Linked DNA regions of Mytilus edulis. The main gene of each other region encodes a partner of the protein of the gene in region 2 in a complex. Links are inferred from orthologs where the notes say so. Each region holds a gene or a part of one and is shown on either strand. Other genes may lie near its edges.

What was found.
Region 1: the proteins of cysteine desulfurase-like (region 2) and adrenodoxin-like protein 1, mitochondrial are in contact, whole or in part, in a cryo-EM structure (PDB 8RMC), measured with the Homo sapiens proteins. The link is inferred for Mytilus edulis from reciprocal best matches to the Homo sapiens genes NFS1 and FDX2. Residues at the interface, in NP_066923.3 of Homo sapiens: Gln153, Lys157, Leu160, Asp161, Arg164, Ala168, Tyr175, Ala384, Ser385, Leu386, Glu387, Pro388, Tyr390, Arg393, Gln456, His457; in NP_001384335.1 of Homo sapiens: Ala104, Cys105, Glu106, Ala110, Cys111, Pro141, Leu142, Ile169, Thr170, Arg171, Asn172, Phe173, Tyr174, Val175, Asp176, His178, Lys181.

Annotation. Positions count from the first base shown.
Region 1 is NC_092344.1:18,534,943-18,542,420, reverse strand, and holds the start of adrenodoxin-like protein 1, mitochondrial, read left to right. Parts: upstream 1-4,398; 5' UTR 4,399-4,416; coding exon 4,417-4,573; intron 4,574-5,950; coding exon 5,951-6,005; intron 6,006-7,235; coding exon 7,236-7,342; intron 7,343-7,478. Other genes in the region: VWFA and cache domain-containing protein 1-like, read right to left, coding at 3,812-4,108. UniProt on the Homo sapiens protein: Electron donor, of the core iron-sulfur cluster (ISC) assembly complex, that acts to reduce the persulfide into sulfide during [2Fe-2S] clusters assembly on the scaffolding protein ISCU.
Region 2 is NC_092348.1:85,717,120-85,725,320, forward strand, and holds the start of cysteine desulfurase-like, read right to left. Parts: upstream 3,093-8,201; 5' UTR 3,037-3,092; coding exon 2,916-3,036; intron 1-2,915. Other genes in the region: pyruvate dehydrogenase [acetyl-transferring]-phosphatase 1, mitochondrial-like, read left to right, coding at 7,140-8,201.

The sequences.
Region 1 (7,478 bases), on a different chromosome or scaffold from region 2:
AATCACAATAATTTAAACTTGCATTTTGAAATATTTTATATACATGTAAATAAAAATGGATATTTCTCAATATCGCAATAAGGCCTAAAAAAAAAAGATATGTGTTTCCGGTAACATCATTTTGAAAAATAGGGTCGGTAGGTCGGAATTCTTTTTTTTTTTTTTTTTTTTTTTTTTTTGACATCGTAAATGAAATCCGGAAAATTTTCATGTTTTTTCCAAGTCCGGATCCGTAATTAGTTTCAAAAACCGGAAGTGTGCCATTTGCAATGTTTTTGAAGCACCTGCTGTGCAAATTTCTTGGATTTTAACCTATTTGGAATACCTTTTGACATTAATAAAATGTTTTACTGGCTTTCTATGCAAGAGGAAGCAAGAGAGAAAAAATATTATGTCATCTATCAGAAGCCTGTGTCAAAAACAGGGTCGGTTGATAAATTTTTTTTTTATTTTTTTTGAAGATCCAATAAAAAAGTTAGGGTCGGGGCTAAAAAAACAGGGTCGGTCGGGTTACCGGAAACACGGATCTTTTTTTTCTCGGCCTAATTTAAATCGCATTTGAATCTTATATGACAAAATCACAATAATTAGTGCACTTGATCATTTCTGAATTTACAGTAATTTTATTTACGTTTTAGAAATTTATTTATGTTTGTATTAAATAAATCAGAATTTGATCATATTCGATTAGTTTATTCCTGGTAATATTTATTTCTAATCACAATCTTAGAAGAGCTTATTTGTACATTGTATTGGGTTAGCAAAAACCTGGGTTTTATGAGTATTGCCTAGCACAGTGGGAAACATAGTGTAAAAGCTCAAGTCAGAATTGATTTTAGTACAGACTGCATTGTTGTGGGAATAAACATGTAATTGTAACAAGTTTGATATTCCCTTTCTTTTACAAGTCAATTTAGTCTTAGTCTAAGATGAATGAACTTGGCCTTTGGTCATCATGACAATATCATATTCATGACTATAATTCACAAAATACTAAAGAAAAACAGTATACATTTTTGCTGTTTACAGTTTATCTTTATCTATAATAATATTCAAGATAATGACCAAAAACTGCAAAATTTCCTTAAAATTACCAATTAAGTGGCAGCAACCCAACAATGGGTTGTTTGATTCATCTGAAAATTTCAGGGCTGATAGATCTTGACCTAATGAACATCTTACCCCATGTCAGATTTGCTCTAAATGCTTGGTTTTTGAGTTATAAGCCAAAAACTGTATTTGACCCCTATGTTTTATTTTTAGCAATGGCGACCATGTTTGTTGATAGATCAAAACTTCGGGTACAATTTATAAACTAGATACCCTAAGGAACATTCAGTTAAAGTTTGGAAGTATTTGGCCTAGTAGTTTCAGAGGAGAAGATTCTTGAAATAGTTTACGACGACAGACGATAGACGCCAAGTGATGGCATAAGCTAACTTGGCCCTTCGGCCCATGTGAGCTAAAAATCAAGCTTATTTCAAGTCTAATTTGATGCATAACTCACAAAAAAACAATTCCTGTTTACCAATTCGTACCAATCATCAAACATGAAAAGATATGTTAATGACTTGGGAAATAAAATTTAATGAATAACAAGAATGTGTCCATAGTACACGGATGCCCCACTCGCACTATCATTTTCTATGTTCAGTGGACCATGAAATTGGGGTCAAAACTATAATTTGGCATTAAAATTAGAAAGATCATATCATGGGGAACATGTGTATCAAGTTTCAAGTTGATTGGACTTCAGCTTCATCAAAAACTACCTCGACCAAAAACTTTAACCTGAAGCGAACGGACGCACAGACGGACGAACGAACAGAGGCACAGACCAGAAAACATAATGCCCCTCTACTATCGTAGGTGGGGCATAAAAATTTTCAATAGCAATGAACATTATTCAGTTATGTTCAGTTGCACCTGGATCATGCAGCTTGGTCAATTAATTCGTAAACAAAAGATTTGCATGTTTTTTCGAGTTCTAGAAAAAACAAGGCTTCACTTTTATGTTTTGTTGTTCCTAGAATACTTTTAGTATTTACAAATTCAACTGATGCAGTTATAACGTAAAACGTGCCCTTTTGTAAATTTCATGCCATAAATTGAAAAATAAAAACACATTTAAACTGGTTTTGTTTACACAAGAGGTGAAAGCAGAGAAATCATGTATCCAACATTTTCTGACTTGTGCCCAACCTGTTCAAAGTCAAAGACAAAATAGATTGATTTTAAAGCACGATTCAGACCATTTTTACTCAAAGATTTTATCCTTTAAACAGGAACAGAGGTAAAACACAAAGCCAATCAAGGTGCACTCAGTGGGTTGAAAGATGCTTCAGATATTTCATTTTTGGTCTAGGGTGCGTAAGAAAAAGAGTGGAACGTAATTTTGAGGCAATGAGAGCTGACTAGATTTTGAGCGAACAGACACAGATTCATGAACACATGTCAGTTAACTGCTAGTAGTCTGTTGTTATTTATGTATTATTGTCATTTTGTTTATTTTCTTTGGTTACATCTTCTGACATCAGACTCGGACTTCTCTTGAACTGAATTTTAATGTGCGTATTGTTATGTGTTTACTTTTCTGCATTGGCTAGAGGTATAGGGGGAGGGTTGAGATCTCACAAACATGTTTAACCCCGCCACATTTTTGCGCCTGTCCCAAGTCAGGAGCCTCTGGCCTTTGTTAGTCTTGTATCATTTTAGGTCTTAGTTTCTTGTGTACAATTTGGAGTTTAGTATGGTGTTCATTATCACTGAACCAGTATATATTTGTTTAGGGGCCAGCTGAAGGACGCCTCCGGGTGCGAGAATTTCTTGTTGCATTGAAGACCTGTTGGTGACTTTCTGCTGTTGTCTGCTCTATGGTCGGGTTGTTGTCTCTTTGGCACATTCCCCATTTCCATTCTCAATTTTATTGTTCACCCTGATTCAGGCTCGTCCTAGTACCTGTTCACCAAAATAAATGTACCGGTTTGCCCAGGTTTCATTTGCTCTTTTTTTTTTTACTGTTGTCTAGTTGCATATTAATGTTTATTATTGGAACAGAATATATTGGAGTTTTTTTGAAAATTTGCCAAATATTGGAATTGCTGCAACCAAATAATTTAATTACAGTGATCAGTGAGAACTATTATTATGACATATTAATGCGCCAAAACAAGCCAACTTTTAGTTATTTCCATGTGTTTTGTGAATTTTCAAGAATTCATACCATATAAAAATCTGAATAAGGTTTATTTAACTGTAATACCCATAATATTAATATTTCATTAATAAAAGTAGTGAGAAGGAATCCAGCGCGAGCAGACTTTATAATGGTAGTATTGGGGGTACTTTCATGACGTATAACCATAAAAATTCTTGCCAAATGACATTAACGGTCATTTTTAGTGCATGACAATAAAATGTACACTTTCTTTAAGACGAAATGATTTTGATGAACGAAGTTAATTTTTTTCCAAAATAACAGTAATGATAATTATTTGAGACCTTTGACGAATCACAGTAAAATTTTACCAATTTGACGCTAATGGTAGCCGAAAATAACTGTTTGACGCCCGACGTAAAAGGGCATTACCACCCTCCTCTAGAGGTGAATGAACTCATTGCGATCAGTTTCAGGGCGAACATGTTTAATCTGGGTGAACGGACCTGTCAACCAGTTTCGTACACTAGGGACAACTCAGACAAGTCATTCATGTTCATTTATCATTCTAAGAAAAAAATATTTATACATGTTCATGTAAGAAGCTTTTAATTACAGGATCTCAAGACTTTTTTTCAAATACATGTAGCCTACCTGCATTTGCGGAATCCCTAATTCAACATTTGCTGTTTGTCTTAATTGAGACCACAACTTCAAAGCTTCTATCTGAATTCTTATTCCACCTAAAATTTTAGGGTCAACTGGTTCTTGCCTTGTGTCAGAGAAATATCCACCAGCAGAGAATAGTGCTTTGAAAGCCTCCTGTTCAAGTTTATCATTATAATTGTACACATCACGTTTTTTAGTACTATCAGATCTGACAAACGTCAAATTGGCTGTTATAAAAATACAAAGACAAACTAAAATTCTATTTTGATTACAGGTCGCCATGTTGAAAAAGATCTTGTTGACCTTTCAACAGACTATTTGAATGGTCATCTGTCAACATTTCTGAAATCCAAACAGATTCTTATTACACTCGTCCTTTGGAAAATTCACTTAAGTTTCATATCCATAACTAAACAGCACTAAATTCCCTAGCATAATGCAAAATATCAATAAAGTGTATTGGAGTGTATCGCTTTTTTTGTCATCACCAATCTTGCATGCTAATATGTAAAGCTACAGCAATACACAAAACAGCCGGAAGTTTCGTAAAATCCGAAAATAAGTGAAAAAATAGAAACTAGTTGTCCAATATGTCAGCCCCCATGTTGCAGTTTTTTTCTAAAAGATTTTGTAGCAAATGCTTCAAGATCGCGCAATCTCAAAGAGTTCCTTCAATATTTAAATTAACAGAACAGACAAAAATGACAACCACTCCAAAAATTTCGAGACATTTTCATGTCAGTGCAGGTAAATTAAGCTCTGAGTGTTGCATAATCATGTTATCAAGGCAGTTTTTACTTTTTAAGATAAGTAATTACAGGCGATGCTCAAGACGTTTCGTCCACATGCTGTATCGGTAATATCTTTTCCAGTTTGGCCAAACTTTGTAAAGTCGTTTCAGTCATTTTTGACTTGTTATAAAGCCTCATATTTATTTAGAAATGAGAAATAGGATTGTTTTTACATTAAGAAATAATATGAGGGGGTGAAGTCTGTATCGATTATCTATTTAATTCAAACATATTTTAATGTTACAAAAGAACCAGATTCCTACCAAAATTGGAAGGAGGCTTGTTTATGATCATAAGATAGTTATTCTTCTTGGAAACATAACATTCCCTCTGTGTTTATAGTTTTCAAAATATGATTAACAGCAAGAGTAGCCGAGACACTGGGTTCTGCGGAACTGTTTAATGCTAATTTATACTTATATACCATCTTTTAAAACTCATAAGAACAATATGAAAAAGTATGGTCTAATCGACTGTGTCTGAAACGTCTGTGGACAAACTGGTCATGTGACAGAAACGTCTTACAAGTATTACAAGAAGTGTTTAAACTTATAAAGGTGGAATTTACAGTTCAGATAACAGGAACTACTTATAGACAAAACAACTATATGACCTTTGCATGCTATTTTTGTTGTTGCTGTGACGACTTCCTACAATGAAAAGTGATGCAGCATAAAATTAAACATGCCTGCAGGACATCATAATTTTTTGGAATAGTCCTAAAAAAGTGAATTCAAAAAATTAAATTCAAAAACTTAGATGGGTACTTCCATGAGAAAATGGGTACAGCCAGGACCTGGAAGTACCCATTTTCTCAAAGCTCTAAGTTTTTGAATTTTATTTTTTTAATTCACTTTTTTAGAGGGTCCAAATTGAATTATAAAATATAACAACTGAAGATGCAATGTAAAATAAAAATGCAACAAGATTGAGAATTAAAAAAAAAATAACAACTACTAAACAACATCTGAACATACATTGTATGAAGTATGATTTTATGTGAAATAAAACGTTTAATCATTTATATAGTTTAATTTTCTATTCAAATAAACAAAATATGTATTCTCTTATGATTATGATAGGCAAATAAAAATTACAACTATAACATAAAATATATATTTAAAAAATGCATCAAATTAATATATGTTTTGTTGTATACATTTTGTAGCTTTAAAGATGGAGTTTGAACTACAACATAATGACATGTACACTGTATAGAATTGTGTTTGTTTTTGTTTTTTCCTCCTTAATAATTAAACATCCACAAATTTGTGTAGCCTTAAACTAATCTGTGTAAAAAGAGCAGTTAAAAATTTTATGATATTTATTAAAGGTCCATTACGTCATGGGGATTATGAATATAAAGATCCAAAATCAGAAGATGAAGTGTAAGTACATATTATACATATAGGACATATACAATATTCACATTAGACATACAACAGCTAGGTGATTGCATAAGCAAAAATGTTCATTTATATAAAAGCATCAATGCACACACAAGTGAAGCACTAAACTAGATTAATGCAAGAATATTATAATATAAACAACAATGAGTAAAAGAAGATTTTGGGGAACATTTTGACAAACAAATTGAGACAGCAAACCTTAAAACAGGACTCTGAACCGTGATGGTACTCCAAACTGTGATGGTTACACTAAGGTGCGATGGTCTGAAGCTGAAGTACGTTTTTGATTACGCTGAAGTGTGATGGTGGCTTTGTGACGCTATCTTGTTGATAGCTATGCCAAAGTGCGATGGTGATAATATTATAAACTTAATTTTCCATGCTTTTCATGTCAATTTGTATGTTAGAAGCAGTTTTCTGGGTTATAAAGTTTATTAGGGGCTTGTAAACTTTAAAAACTGTACTAGAGAAATTGCGAAGATTGGTAAATAGCCTTAATAGGGGAAAGTTGACCTTCTGTAGCAAACTTTTTTTTCAAAATCTACAAACAGCTCCTTTTTACTTACAATGACATTCTCTTACAATGTACAGGTTTGCATACAGACAATCTGTATAATAATATTACGGTAATCCAATAACTCATGCAAGGAACCAAGTAAAGATAAAATGTTAATGCAGAATTATATGGACATGCAGAAAATCAAAGAGAACGATCTCTTATTTAATATGCAACTGTTATTTAGGACAGTCATAGACAAAATGAATGTAAATTCATATACATGTACTAGCTATTTAAACATATACATGCTTCTCATAACAATTGCACATCTATAGCTTTTAAAATAGAAATCATGCATCAAATAGACCATCGCACATCAGCGAACAGACCATCACACTTTGGATTAGACACAGTTCAGCATGACCATCGCACTTCAGCGTCCCCATGGCACATCTGAGTCTAACACATATATAAAACAAAACAAAAACATTTGATATTTAACCTTTCGTTTCTTGAAAACTCAACCAGAGCAAAAAGCAGGGGATTTCAAAAAAGTAATTTCCTTCATCATAATTTTCACACAAATTATATTAATGTGTACAAATTAATCAACCTATGAAAAGTTTAATCAGAAAAAAGTTAATAAATTTAAAAAAAAAAGGATTTAAAATGCAACTGGTGAGCTACATCATTTTACTTTTTTTTTTTAGAGTAAATATTACTTATATAGATAGAAATGGAGTTAAAAAACCTGTCAGAGGAAAAGTTGGTGATAATCTGATGTATTTAGCTCATAGATACGACATAGAGTTGGAAGGTAAATAAAACTTATCATAATACTTCTATTTTACCATTGTATTGTTTTGTTAGGAATGGTGTTGGAACAGTTGGATCATTTGAGTTATCAGGATATGGTATTTTTGTTTTCTGAACTCAAATCTTGGTTATATATG
Region 2 (8,201 bases):
TTAACTTTGCATGCAATAAGACCTCTCTCATATTTTTAGAAAATTTGTTTATTTTAGATTGATTCTTTTGGAAGGTATACACCTTATCGCTAAACCCGGCTGACCCAGCCGCTTGAACTTTAGACGCATACAACAATCACTTTTCCATTGTGGCGTCAGATATTTATGTTTTATGAGGCCAAAATAAAAAGATTGTATGTTTGCCCAAACGCGACCGACCCAAAATAAACCCGCCGACTCAAATTCTTTTTTTGACGTTTTTTTAGAAGATTTTTTTTTTGCGGATTCTTTTCATGTCCGCTCCGTCATTGTATAAAACTTAATGTTTGTTATCTTTGCGTTTGAAAGTAACTGTGAATGAGATTAAAAGAAAGCGCATAAGAGACGCAGTTAATTGATCTTCCATGTTCTCTGTTTTTATCTTCTGATTTAACGAACGTAAAGAAGTGAAAAATGTGAAGTGGCACAGTTTTTGTTTTACGCTGTAGTTGTCTGTACTACCAAACCCTTACCTATATGCTCAATGTTAATTTCATCGTGTAATCGAAGATCTGATAAGAATATTCAGGTAGATTTGTTCAAAACCATGTGCAATCGAATATTTTCAATGTTACTCTGACAGGAAATGGATCCGGAAGTTGCGAATTTACAATCTTGCAAGAAGATTTTGTATTTATTGAATAAAAAGGGATTACTTCTTGATAAATTGTTGTCTTTAATTATAATCTTCCTTTATCATGTGAATTAGATATAATACACATTCATTAAATGTTTATTTTAGATTGATTCTTTTGGAAGGTATACACCTTATCGCTAAACCTGGCTGACCCAGCCGCTTGAACTTTAGACGCATACAACAATCACTTTTCCATTGTGGCGTCAGATATTTATGTTTTATGAGGCCAAAATAAAAAGATTGTATGTTTGCCCAAACGCGACCGACCCAAAATAAACCCGCCGACTCAAATTCTTTTTTTGACGTTTTTTTAGAAGATTTTTTTTTTGCGGATTCTTTTCATGTCCGCTCCGTCATTGTATAAAACTTAATGTTTGTTATCTTTGCGTTTGAAAGTAACTGTGAATGAGATTAAAAGAAAGCGCATAAGAGACGCAGTTAATTGATCTTCCATGTTCTCTGTTTTTATCTTCTGATTTAACGAACGTAAAGAAGTGAAAAATGTGAAGTGGCACAGTTTTTGTTTTACGCTGTAGTTGTCTGTACTACCAAACCCTTACCTATATGCTCAATGTTAATTTCATCGTGTAATCGAAGATCTGATAAGAATATTCAGGTAGATTTGTTCAAAACCATGTGCAATCGAATATTTTCAATGTTACTCTGACAGGAAATGGATCCGGAAGTTGCGAATTTACAATCTTGCAAGAAGATTTTGTATTTATTGAATAAAAAGGGATTACTTCTTGATAAATTGTTGTCTTTAATTATAATCTTCCTTTATCATGTGAATTAGATGCCCTTTTATTCAAATAGTTCAAATTTACAAGCCTCAGTTGACAAAATCAATAAGTTGCTGTTTGGGAGAATTTGATTAAACTATAATTGCTCACAGAATAAGAAATATAATCTTAACTGAATGTAACTCTTTCTGAATAATTTAGTGCAATATAAATCCCCTTTGACAAGAAAAATCTGGCTTTTGTCAGAAATATTTTTTTCACATGTGCAAAAGTAAACACATGATATGGTTGGATTTTTATACAAATTTGTGAGGAAGCCTCTAGAACCATGACCTAAAAATAAATAGTCTTCAGAAATTGTTAACTTTATGCAATTATATTTTATCAATAATGATTATTTTCAAAAATTTAAACTTGATTATTTAAAGAAATAAAATTATAACAAATACGTTTTTAGTTTGGAGATTCTACAGAACATGTTTTGGTCTATTTATAGCCAAATTAGTTTACCTGTGTGATAATGTAAAAATATAAATTTGTTTTCAAAACATAAAAAGACAGAAACTATGGATGGTAGATAATAATTCATATAAAATATTTTAGGACATTTAATCTATTTTAAAAGATATAGGATTTAAAAACTGCAAACAAATTAAATTATTACATACATCAGCTGATATTTTTTTTTCACAAACATCTTGTTGATGTAACTGTTGAAAATCACTTCATAAATCCACCAACCCTTTCACACAGTCAGGGTTATAAACATCTCAGGATATAAAGTAGACTAATTTATTTATAGAGGTTTTAAATTCATGGCTTTTGGTTGACTCTACAAAGGTTTGACGGAAAAAAAAGATGTACTGTTTTAAGACCTTTTCATATTTTCATGCAAATTCTGAAAAAAAAAAAAAAGAATTTGCCAACCTACGTACCCAGACCCAGTCATCATGGGTCGGGTTTGGGCAAACTGAAATATTTTTAATTGTGGCCTGACGTCAAAATTTTACAGGAACCTATGTGATATCCAGTAATGGCGGACAAATAGCGATAAGGTGTATTAGGGAAAGGGTACAAAAATGTAATATAAAATAAAAAAAAACGTAAATACTTAATTAAAATAACTTTATTAAGAAAATTTTCACCACACATGTTATCATTTGCTATTCTTATTCTTACTAAGAATAGCAGCCGAATATGACGTCACATGGGCATGAACTGCATACAGGAAGTGAAAGTAGAATTAGGTCGAAAACGTAAGATCGTCGAAAACACAATACGTTGAAATACGAGACGATACAAATCAAAACAAATATTTATATTGGTGTGTAAATGTACATGTCATGTTCTTTAACAAGATCTATATTGCTATCAGTCTACTTATTCTGTCTAAATTGATGATTTTTAATATCTTAATTTTAAGAGTTCCATGAACATTATGAAACAACGTGTATGTATCTTTCAATGTCTTTTTGACACATGTAATGGCTGTATACCTGCAACTGCAACTTTCTGAGCATTGTCAGTCACATTCGCCTGTAAATATCTCTTAGTTGACTGAGTTGTGCTGTTCACAACTTGTAATACAAAGCGAAAATTTCTGAAAAGTCGTGCCATTTTATATTTATTTTCTTCTGTCGAAATTGCTTTACATAATTGTAGTACTATGCAGCCAATAATCAACAGTAGTATTGATTATAACCAGAATCACTCAAACAATATCCGATTACCAAATATACAAATACCAACACGAATATTCGAAAACGTACATAATTGCTTCATGTTCAAGATAGAATTTAAAGAAAATTCATACCTGTCAACTGTCACTATTTGTGGGGGATTTCCCCCATGGAGGCTCCCAAATTAAAATTTTGAAAGAGCAATTTTGTCCAAAATTTAAACAAAAAAATTAATTTTACAATAACTTTAGGCTTATAAAAGTATGAAGAAGCCAAAAAACTACCTTAAATGTATTTGCAGGCCCCGTTTATGGTTTTTTAGGACTATGACAGCCATCTTGCACGCAAAACCCCCATGGGCATTTTGAAAAGTTGGCTGGTATGAAAGATTGATAATTTATTATTGAGACTTCTGTAACACATGTGGTTTTTTTCTCAGATTAGAATTAGATAGAAATAGTACAAAAAGTTAAAACTATAGTAATAAAGCATCAGTCTCATGTTGATAAATGTTTTAAAAAAAAAAAATAGGATAAGAATGATAGGTCACAGCGCATTTGCTCAAGCTACAGGTTTTGACAAAATGACACATTTTATAATAAGAATAAGAATTTTATTAGTCTAAAATCCAAACAATAGGATTGTTACTAAAATACAAAACAAAAACAAAAACAAAGAAACAGACAGACAGGCATATTAATTACAAAACTAGGCATTAAACACTACAAACATGTAGCATTGAAAAAAAAAAGTTATTAATATTAACTATAATACTATTTTTGACAGCATGTCTCCTCTTTCAAATTATCAATTCAAATATTATGCTTATATATATATATAACATTATAAGTTGGGCCATCAATTACACAGTTCATATTGACATTATAATTGTTTCTCTCATTATACATTTCATTTATAGACGTCACGCGCGATGTTCGTACCTCATTGGAAAATCGGTGTAGTTGGCAAGATCCAAGTCCAAAATATATAGTTTTGTGATATCACATTCATTGCTATTGTACGAATTTTTGAAAAAATAATGTTTTTTAAAATAAAAACGAAAAAAATAATTGTTGAAACTATGTTTAATGCTGCATGCGACAAGCTTCATTTAAAAAAACCGGCTATTTTTAGGCTGTCCCGCGTAACATATTTCATTTATTGTAACCACTAAACTATGATTTTCGTCTAAACTATTTAATATTTTGAAAAACGTTTTTTTTCCCATTATTTAACATAAAGGTTCCTTCAGTTTGTTATGCATTCTTTATGACGTTATAATGACGCAATAGAAAAAAAGATCCATACTACAAGGGCAAACCTGTCCCACGGGGAAAAAAATTTGGATTCCAGATTTGAGAATTAAAAAACATTTATCTAAAATGGAAATGGGTTAGTGTAGTGTTTGTTTTTACTACATCAATGTTAATTTGCTTAATTTTATGAAGTTAAAGACAAATATCATGGCCAGAAAAATGATATATGGTAATTTATGAGCGATTTTTCAAAGGCTTACAAGGTTGTCGCACTGCCATTTTTTGACGTAAAAACGAACTCACCTCAAATTTACGTCAATTGTTTGCTTATCAGTGCTCTTTTAATGGTAGAATTTTATGATTTTTGAAAATGTTATTTTTCTTAATTTTTCAAAAACTAAAATACATCAATTTTCAATAAGTAGTTAAAAAGCACCGACGATTTTGCGGAGTCTTACAAGAATGTCGCACTTGCTTAAAAACAACGTTTTAGTCGAAGTTTTGGTTTGAACGTTACGAAATATTCGGGACGTTGTGTTACGCTTACATGTACGAACATAGCGCATAACGTCATAACATTATAAGTTGGGCCACCAATTACACAGATCATATATTGACATTATATTTTTTTCTCTCATTATACATTTCACTTATATAGTTAACAATGATAAGTAAAATATCACATTCTTCGCAGGAAAATATAAAATCAAATTTGTTTTCTTCACTCATTGAATTAAAACTGGGGACAATACTAGAAATTTCATTCAACATTTTGATCTAGTTTTATTAATTTCTGAACATAATGATAAAATGAAATACATCTTCCACCTCTTTATGACATAAAGGACATATTCTATTTTCTAAAGCTGTTTTGTTGTATCTACCGCGTTCAATAGCCAGTATACTATTCCTTATTCTTATTTTAGCATAATTTTTTGTAACATTTTTATCTATTTCAATAAAAGGTACTTTTCTAGTTCACACTTTACTTTAAATTTTCTGTAGGTTCTTAGTTTATTTCCATTTATTGAATTATCATCATTAAAGAGACAATTTTTCCAAAATGTAATGTAATTTTCATTGAGCTTCTCTCACGACGGCTAAAAGTAATCTTTTTTTTAGAAAAGGTACATTGATTTTCCCAAACATGAGTGAAATTCAATTTTGAAAGTAGCATTTTCAGTGGCGGATCCAGAACTTTTCATAAGGGGGGACCAGCTGACTGACCTAAGGGGTGGGGGGGGGGGGATCCAGTCATGCTTCAGTGATTTCCTATATTAGCAACCAAATTTTTCCCACGAAAAGGGGGGGCCCGGGCCTCCCAGCCCCCCACCCCTGGATCCGCCTATGATTTTTACTTTTGAAGCAAATCCATCATTTAACTGCTTGTTAGCTTTATAAACATTATATAATAAAGACTCATTTTCATTTGACTTTAAAATATGTAACCAAAATCCTACAGAAGACTTAAGGGCCTGTATACCAATAGGGTACATTCCCAATTCAGCTAATACAGCTGTATTTACTGCCTTTGAATTAACATTTAGAAGACCTTTTGAAAATTTGATCTGGAGTTTTACTGATTCCATAGATAAGTATTGAGATTTAAGAGTTTTATTGTTCTTCACAATATTTAGCGACCATATCTCACTGCAATACAGTAATATTGGGCTAACACAGGAATTAAACAGTTTCATATGGGGAAAAACATCCATCTTATCTGAGTAGAGTATTTTTTTAATACAAAACAATGCTTTTTTACAGAGGATATTTGCAGCATTAGTGAAAAATCCTGATGGCTTGAATAGTATACCTAAATATTTATATTCTGTGCAACATTCAATTACTTCATTATTCAATACAAACTTGTCTTTAGTAAGTTTTTTACCACTTTTATTAAATATCATTGTTTTTGTCTTGTCAAGATTGACAGTCAAGTTCCATTTTTCACAATAAGTGTTTAACTTGTTAAGACAATTTTGTAAACATTCTGAAGATTCTGATATTAATACTAAGTCATACTAGACAATTTTATGTCATGCAATGTTACAGGATCACATGTGTTATCAAACATTGAGGTTAAATCATTTATATAAAAAGAAAATAAGGTAGGGCTTAGAATGTTTTACTCCAACTGTGGAAGGGATTTATGAATTATGTATACAGGAAAAACATTATGCTCAGAAGCTAAACTAAATGATAGAATTGTAAAATTAAATACGATAAGATAGCTTTTAGAAAATGCTTTGAGAATACCATAACTCGGAAAAAACCCGTGTGTTTTCCACGACTAAAATACAAAATAGGAAAATTCCATGTAGATTCCTTAAGAAAATGCACTATTTCATCTTAGAATCTTATACATTTGTTCTTTTACATGAACATTCACATTAGTTATCTTCATTCCTGCATCAAATTTTGCTAACTTGATTGAAAATCAGGACCTGCTATGTTCTCTAATTTTTACAATCCAACCTTAACCGTTTTTCATAACTGAGACGAGCCAGTGCGGCTCAATTTGGGCGAGTTGGTTCCAGACAGGGCGATTTTTTACAAAGTGGGACGAGTTGTTGAAAAAGTAGGGCGAATATTACAGTGGGTCGTGCTGTTCTTCTTCCAGTGTTACCCTTTTTCGGTAATTAATGAGATTTATTAGAGTTCTGATCAGTGATTATACTGCATGCTCCTGTTAAAGGGAGACTAACCCCTTGAGTAAGGTTGACAAGCAAAGCAGTCGAAACCGAAAAGGACAAGATCGAGTGACTTATGTTTCGTGCAAAACAGAATGTTAAGAACTTGTCCTCTGAAGAGGATTGATATAGGTTTGAAGAAAAAAGTTTTTTCACAACCTTTTGAAGAAGTTCATACGAAAGGACAAATTGAAAGCGTTAGAAGATTTTTCTTAAAATTTAAACAGAGGCATGGGTATTTAAGTTCAGACGTCGCACTGTTGACTCGAAAACAAGTCTCATCGATATTGAAAATAAATGAAGTATCAGTGGATGCAGATGGTCCTATTAAAAACTTTGAAGTGAATAAATTACCAGCAAATAAACCAATTGAAGATCGTGACACAGTAGCAAAGTTGACTCATGGAGATAAAAACAAGTACATTTTCGGTGTTTATGATGGACATGGTGGTAGTGCATGTTCTCAAGCTCTCAGTGAACGATTATTTAACTATATTTCAGTCTCAATGTCAACGCAAGACATTTTGAAAGACATTGCATGTGACAACGAGGGACATGACAAACTTGTAGACTGGTACCCTTATCAGTCACAGTACTTCAATCATGAACTTGATCAAATATACAAGGATAACTTGGCTAAATTTGCCAAAGAAACATTAGCAAACTTTGAAGAATGCTCAGTAGAAGAGCATTTGCGGCACGCTTTTCTCCGTCTTGATCATGACATCATGTCAGAATGCTTGCCAGTAGGTCATGACTTGAGCATAAATGACCAAGCTTTAGAGAATGGTTTGTCAGGGTCTTGTGCTTGTATTGCATTAGTTGATGATATAGATTTGTATGTTGCTAACACGGGTGACTGTCAAGCAGTTTTAGGAGTTGAAGTTGATAAAGACCATACGAATACAGTAGAAATGTCACATGCACACACAAGTTACAACTCCAAAGAAGTAAGAAGAGTTTTAAAAAGTCATCCCAATGAATCTTCCCATGTGATCAAAGGAGGTCGTCTCTTTGGCAGTTTAGCACCATTAAGGGCATTTGGAGACATGATGTATAAGTGGTCTGTTAAGGAACGTAATCAACTTCTGAAACTTTTCAAGCATCACCCTAATTTCAATGTATACAGCGAAGTTTTGATGCATGAACATTACATT